2 linked regions of the Oryctolagus cuniculus genome follow. The protein of the gene in region 1 purifies or fractionates together with the protein of each later gene. This does not show direct contact. Links are inferred from orthologs where the notes say so. Each region holds a gene or a part of one and is shown on either strand. Other genes may lie near its edges. The genes, in order: DDX21 and DKC1.

The links.
Region 2: the proteins of DDX21 (region 1) and DKC1 purify together in Homo sapiens (co-immunoprecipitation; 3 studies listed by BioGRID and IntAct, with this or other methods). This does not show direct contact. The link is inferred for Oryctolagus cuniculus from reciprocal best matches to the Homo sapiens genes DDX21 and DKC1.

The regions. Positions count from the first base shown.
Region 1 is NC_091446.1:60,756,525-60,760,342, reverse strand, and holds part of DDX21 (nucleolar RNA helicase 2), read right to left. Parts: intron 2,751-3,818; coding exon 2,633-2,750; intron 1,569-2,632; coding exon 1,383-1,568; intron 573-1,382; coding exon 427-572; intron 1-426.
Region 2 is NC_091453.1:133,384,355-133,388,172, forward strand, and holds part of DKC1 (H/ACA ribonucleoprotein complex subunit DKC1), read left to right. Parts: intron 1-605; coding exon 606-697; intron 698-854; coding exon 855-1,039; intron 1,040-1,473; coding exon 1,474-1,538; intron 1,539-1,863; coding exon 1,864-1,990; intron 1,991-2,171; coding exon 2,172-2,302; intron 2,303-2,398; exon of another isoform or gene 2,399-2,528; intron 2,529-2,757; coding exon 2,758-2,901; intron 2,902-3,818.

The sequences.
Region 1 (3,818 bases):
AATGCCATTCCTTAAGAGTCTTAGAGGAAACCAAGTAACTGACAAGAGCAAAGTTTCTGAATGCTTTGCCCTCTCATCCACTGAAAAGTGCAACCCGCAGTCAGCTACTGTCCAGGTCTGTTCCTTGGGTAAAATGAATTCATCTAGGTACCGGACCCTAGGAGGAAGACAGCTTCAAGACAAAGTATTACATGTCTTTGCTGCCCTGTAATGTCCACAAATTCTAGGTTTAATCTGTTTACATAATTCAAACAGATTTATGTTCTATCAGACAAAATTTAGAAAACACACACAACTTGAGTAGAATGTCTTCACTGGGCCCTTTACATGGAAAGCATTTGTGTTTGCCAGTCCTAATTACCCTCAGACATGAAACAAATGATATACAATTTCACACTAATTCCGGCAACTAAATGAATCATTTACCTCCACAGTTATTGCTGTTTTCTGAGTCTTTTTACCAATCAGGTCCACCTGTTCATATGTAGCTTTCATGTATTTCTTAGCAACATTAAATACCCAATGAGGGCATGTTGCAGAAAAAAGCAATGTTTGGGGGTTGTCTTCAGAATCTTTGGGGGGAAAAAAAATCAGTATGAATAATCAAAACAAACCTACACAGAATTCCACTTCACTCAGTTCTTCCAGGGTTCCCAACAATCATTAGCAAGCCTCATACTGAAGACACAGGTAACACGTTTTCCAATGGACACAGAAATAATGCTTCAATCATTTATGCAATGGTGAAAGTACTTTAACTTACTTTGCTTTCTGAACCCTGGCCTTAATGAAACACCAAGGAAATCCGTCCAATACAGTGAGAACAACCAAGTGGACAACAGCAATTCAAGAAGCCCAGCAACCAGTTAATACAGATCACCAGACAAACACCCTCTCAGACACACCAGAACTGTGTCTGAACTCATCTCTATACTGCCTGATGTTTGAAACTATACCTTATTTGTTCTTTGTGGTCAACTACTATTTTTTGTTTGCACACAAAGTTGCATCATAGTCTCACATTTCAAATGGCAGGGTAAGCTGGTACAACCCTTCTGAAGAATAATGTACACTGAGTTGCAAGAGCTATTTACAACTTAATTCCACTTATGGAAATCTAGCCAAAATAACCAACTTCAGATATTGATGAGGTGTGAGGAAAGCTATCTGCATAAACATGACTACAAGAATTATGAAAGTGACAATAAACAGAAAATAGAATTAAATCATGGCCAATTACTTCATGAAGCAAATCTATGTGGAATTAGTAAGTCCTCTTTCAATTTTCCAAGGCTTTGCCTTTTTTTTTTAATCTCTTAGATGACTATTTCATCATCTTCCTTTGGTCTCTTTTATATCGGTTTCTTGAATTTGGGGTTTACCTTTCTTGTATGCCACTTTTAAAATGTCTTCCACTTGATCAGCAAAACCCATATCCAACATCTGGTCAACTTCATCAAGAACAACATGCTTAAGTTTGGAGAGATCGAGCTTGCCATTCTCTAGATGGTCTTTGATTCGACCTGGTGTCCCAACCAGGATATCAATCCCATTCCGCATGCGTTCAACTATAAAGAACATCAATGATAAAATTTACTGGATTTTTAGAAGTCCTTTTATCAGTCTACACAATTAAATATAACATGCTAAGTAATGAAGATGAAGACCATCAAAGCATTCCATCTAGTAGAGAAATCATGTAAGAAGTCACAGTCTAGTGTATTAAGTGGCATAACACATGTCCACAAAAGCAACTGGAAAGAAATGACTTCCTTGGCTGCAGAAATTATCAAGACACAATGAGAATTAAGAATCTTAGTGCCAGCACCGCGGCTCACTAGGCTAATCCTCCGGCACACCGGGTTCTAGTCCCGGTCGGGGAGCCAGATTCTGTCCCGGTTGCCCCTCTTCCAGGCCAGCTCTCTGCTGTGGCCAGGGAGTGCAGTGGAGGATGGCCCAAGTGCTTGGGCCCTGCACCCCATGGGAGACCAGGAGAAGTACCTGGCTCCTGCCATCGGATCAGTGCGGCGCACCGGCCGCGGCGGCCATTGAAGGGTGAACCAAAGGCAAAAGGAAGACCTTTCTCTCTCTCTCACTGTCCACTCTGCCTGTCAAAAAAAAAAAAAAAAAAAAAAAAAAAAAAAAAAAAAAAAAGAATCTTAAAAAAAACAGGAACTTTCTACGAGGTGAGACAGACAGAAGTGCAAACTTGCAAGACTATACAGAGATTCGTAAAAGGAGCTGTTCAGTTTTAACCAAGAAGAGATGGTACACTAGTGTATCTCCTGAGCTGCTACTGCCGTCAAGGGGTTCAGTCAAGGTCTTCAACAGAAAAACAATGAAATCATGGAGCAGAGGGTGCAACAATAAGCCCTAGCACCCCCAAGAAAAGCAACCTTAACCGCATCAAGAAAAAAGCAAGGATACAGAAATAGGCAGAGATCCAAGGTCTTGAGAAATCAAAATAAATAATTTGTCCACAGGACTCAGTTTCTTGACCACCTTTAAACAATGGCAAAAGCAAAGCATCATCTGTAACTAGACCAGCTAAAGAAAAAAATGCCAAAAGGTCAAAAGGGAATCTACTCTGCATCTAAGGCATTTTCCTCCCCCTGTTTTTGAATTTACTTACTTTGATTTCCATACGGAGTTCCACCGTAAAAACAAGCTACTGCCAGTTTTTTTGTGATATCACTGAAGTCTTTGCTTACTTGATTTGCCAGCTCCCTTGTAGGTGCAAGAACCAATACCTGTAAAGGAAAAATTGATACCTGAATTCAAAGCATTATGCAGTACTGGTTTCCTAATTACTGGTTTTCCTAATTACCAGAAAGCTCAATGCATCCTACCCTTTTTGATATTTTCAAAGCATCTACTTTGCATATTGCAATAGCTTGCATAGAAGGATCCTATAGTTCTTGATAATTACACTCAGGAGAAAAACTTGTGACCACACCAATCCCAGGGGCCCAAATGCACTAAGCAGCCTGCTTGAACTGGGGCAAGTTTCACAGAGCTGCTAATCCTTCAAGTACAGCATTCTAGTAAAAGAACAATCTGATCAAGGAGCAATACTGATGATGACAGTTAGCTACTATCTGTGCTTTTACTGTGTCTGAGGCTCACATAAACCCTTATATGCATTATTCTGATTTAATTCTCACAACCTTTGGAGGTGGGTATTAGAAGGTAATTAACAACCAAAACCAAAAAACCCAAGAAGAGGCAGAGCCTGGATGTAAACTCAGGCAGTCTGACTCTAAAAGCTGTAATCCTCATCTCTGCACTACATTAAATCCTAGAGCTCAAACTCTGGAGTGGTCTTGAGCCTGATGTGGGACACACAGCACAAAACCACTACAGATCCTCAAGTAGAACGGCATAAACCAACCAACTCAGGCACTCACCCAGGTGATATTTACTACCCTCTATGTGCCAGGCACTGTTTTACACAGTGATAAACAAATTAATTGAGGAGGAGGAATGGACACTGGAGGGCAGGGAGCTAGTGACGTTAAGACAGAAAGGCAAGTGCAAGAACCCACAGCTGAGGTAACAACATGAACATCATCAGTGATTAAAGTTAAAGGTCGTCAGATGGCAGCTTCTCTGAAAAATGAGCCCAACAGCACTATCCTGATAAGGAGGCTTGGCCTAATCTTTACTCAGGTGCCCTTCCTCCTATTCCTGTCTCTCAATTAAAATTAATTTTCTCCAGGCAAAAATGGTCACTGAACATTTTAAACCCCAGGGACATGGAATGGTTCTAAGGGGCTATGAGGCACACAGGTGACCACAAGCATGGCCAGATTCTAACA
Region 2 (3,818 bases), on another chromosome or scaffold:
TAAAAAGTTAGACATCCCTCAATCCTGTAGTTTTCATAAAGCTTTGTATGTGGGATGGTAAAGAATGATATTTGCTTGTATGCTTTAATATACTTGGGTGTCTGCTTAGCCAGATATTTCTGTCATTTAGCCAGCATATGCTTTTCTATTGTAGACCCTAGGGATCTGCTACTAAACAGGGTAGCCAAGCTCCTTGCTCTCATGAAACTTAAAATCCAGGGGTGGAAGATAGGTAAAAGAGGGTTTGTTTTTTATGAAACTAAACTGGTGATGAAAGTTGGGCTTGATCATCATTTTGGCTACTTTTGTCCCTCAGAAAATCAAAACTGTTGCATGTTTTATTCATAATCTTGCAGTGAAGCCAGTCTTCTTCATAGAGAATAATGAGTTCAACTTACCAATATTCTAGTTAGTGTGATTCTTACTAATTTGGGTGGTGTATAAGGAGCAGAACAGTTTCACAGCAGATACTGGAAATACAGTAGCAAAAATGCAAATTCAGGAATGTGAAATGTTAGCATATCATGGTTGATGATGGTGCTGGCTGTTACATGTGTAAATGGTTTATCATTAACACTATTTTGTATTGTATTGCTGCTTTCTAGAATTTTGACAAACTAAATGTCAGGACAACACATTATACACCTCTTCCTTGTGGCTCAAATCCTCTGAAGAGGGAGATTGGGGACTATATTAGGTAAGTGTGTTGGGAGCAAGCACTGTTGATAGAAACCTACAGTGGCTTTGTCTTGAATGTATAACCTGTTCGCGTGGTGAATTTTTTTAACTCTTCAGGTTTGTTGTTTTATTGCAGCATGAGAGCAAATGGTACATTAATTTTCTGTCCATTCTAGGACAGGTTTCATTAATCTTGACAAGCCCTCCAACCCCTCTTCCCATGAGGTGGTAGCCTGGATCCGACGAATCCTTCGGGTGGAGAAGACAGGACATAGCGGTACTCTGGATCCCAAGGTGACTGGCTGTTTAATCGTGTGCATAGAACGAGCCACTCGCTTGGTGAAATCACAGCAGAGTGCAGGTATGTGAAGACAGAAGGCAGGTTTACCTCCACATTTTGCCTCTTGGAAATTTTCTTCATTAAGGGGAAAAAACCTACCCTGAAGCATGGATATGCTTTTTGTTTCTGTGTACCTTCTGTCCTCTGCCAGATCTTGGTGGGTCTACATTTGGAGTTCATAGAGGCATGTGTTGATAAATTCCGTTCATGCCACTGAGGCAGAATTCTTTCCGAGTCCAACTCTTGTCTTGTTCCAGGTTCCTTTCACGTTATGTTTCTGTGAAATCTGCACCAAGACACTGAATAATGTTGAGCTCCCAATGTCGTCGTTCCATTCCTTTCCTTTCTTTTCAAAATGTCTGCTTTTCCTGCTGTGCAAGATGGCAGCTATGGAGCATATAACAAATACAGAAAACTGAGTGGCCACACCTGACTACTCTTTTGTCATTTTTCAGGCAAAGAGTATGTGGGAATTGTTCGGCTGCACAATGCTATTGAAGGGGGTACCCAGCTTTCTAGGGTAAGTCTCTCACTTTAGGGAAGGGAAGTTGGGTCTCAGCCCTTGAAGCCTTTGGAAACAGCCACCTTTCGTGGCTGACCATGCTCCTGCCCTTTTCAATGGGCTACCCCATCCAGCCACATCCCTTCTGAGGAGCTGCTTCCCATCAGCCCTGAGCCGTCCCAGGGGTTGAAGAACGAAGCAGAAATGGAAAGAAATGGCTTTTTAGTTATTTTGAAGAAAACCTTTTATGTTTTGTATCCTTAAGCTCCCCAAATATGCCCTCTCATCTTATTTAAGAGGCCATGTAGGGAGAGTGCTTGTTTCTATTTGTGCTTATTCTCAGGCCCTAGAAACTCTGACGGGTGCCCTCTTCCAGCGACCCCCACTTATTGCTGCAGTGAAGAGGCAGCTCCGAGTGAGGACCATCTATGAGAGCAAAATGATCGAATATGATCCGGAAAGAAGATTAGGTGGGTTGTTGGGTCTTTGAGGAACTGAGTTATCACAGGCCGCATTGGGTAGGAACTCATTCTGGAAGGTTCTACGGTAATCTTTGAAAATACTATGTGGTGAGGTCATATCATCTCTAGGCTTGATGACTTAGAAGCAGACTAACTCTGGAAAATACTCTGTATTGTGTTTATGTCTTAGGCATATTTTGGGTGAGTTGCGAGGCTGGCACCTACATTCGGACACTGTGTGTGCACCTTGGTTTGTTATTGGGAGTTGGCGGTCAGATGCAAGAACTTCGAAGAGTTCGTTCTGGAGTCATGAGTGAAAAGGTGTGTCTTCATGGAGCTAGAAGTTTTAGAGCTGGTTCTGGGTATCTTGCAGCCCCTGGTGGAACTCTGCCTACTTCACACCCTGGGAAAGGCCACTTCCAAAGTGTTGAGTTCAGTTCAGGGCATCTTCCCTGTTCTGTTAATTAAACTTTGGTACACTAAAAGGGGTTTGGAGATAGAACTGGATAGAAAGTATCACTATTCGTTTATCTCCCAGCCTACAGCAGTGCTTTCATAAAGTGAATCTATAAACAGTTACAGGTGTCCAGAAGGGAGGTGAGTATGAAGACGCTCAGGGTTCTTCATGAGCTTGCACTAGTGGAAGAGATGCATGGTATATGAGTGTCACAAGTGGTATCTTAATTATGTGGCCAAATGCCCGCTGCTGTTTGTGGACCTGTGAACTGTTGGAGATCTGAAGACACTGAGTTTTTTCCTATGTACCTGCTTTTCAGGACCACATGGTGACAATGCACGATGTGCTTGATGCTCAGTGGCTGTATGACAACCATAAGGACGAAAGCTACCTGCGCCGAGTTGTTTACCCTTTGGAAAAGCTGCTGACATCTCATAAACGGCTGGTTATGAAAGACAGTGCAGTAAGTTCTGCGATGGGAATGCGCATTTGAACAGAAACTGACTCCAAAGATAGGATATGGTCTTTTCTTCTTGGAAACTCTATGTGCCTAAGAAACCTTGACTGACTTAAATTGTTCTAAGACAAAGTTAGTTTAATGGGGAAAAGTTGAGATTAGAGAGATTCAGAGCTGTAACAAAGTTATTTATCCTGTAGAAGTTTGAATAAAATATTTTGTTAGTGTAAATAAAACATAGTTTGAGGCTGTGAAAGCGAAACTTCACTGAGGTTATCAACCTCTTTTTTTTTTTTTTTTTTTAAAGATTATTTTCACTCAGGTGGCTGTAATAGCCAGAGCTGAGGCAGATTAAGGCCAGCAGCCAGGACCTTCCTGCAAGTCTCCCATGAGTGCAGGGCCCCAAGCACTGAGGCCATCCTTCACTGCTTTGCCAGGTGCATTAGCAGGGATCTAAATGGGAAGTGGAGCAGCTGGGACTTGAAGCAGCGCCCATAAGAGATGTAGATGTTGTAGGCAGTGACTTTACCCACTATACTACAGTGCCAGCCCTACAAGTCCTTTTCTTAACATATTCACTAACTTGCCTTTTACTTGAGAGTATTCCTATTAGCAATGCAAGTAAATATTTTTCAGTTGGGGTTTCTTTTGTAGTGGTCATTTTAAGAATAAGTTTCTTACTTTCCAAGTAGTCCAGAATTTGTTAAGTATGATCAAAGAATGTAGTTTATAAATTTTGTTAAAGACTAGGCAGGCATGAAAATTCTCTAAGGAGAGAGTAGAATATGGGTAGCAAGAGATCTAGATGAGTGAAGATGGTATAGCATAAGGCAGATAGATTCCAAAGTGCTGTTGAACTGAAGAGGTGGGCTTCTACCCATTGGCCTATAAGTTTCATGTCTAAACCTTTGTGTGATAGAGAG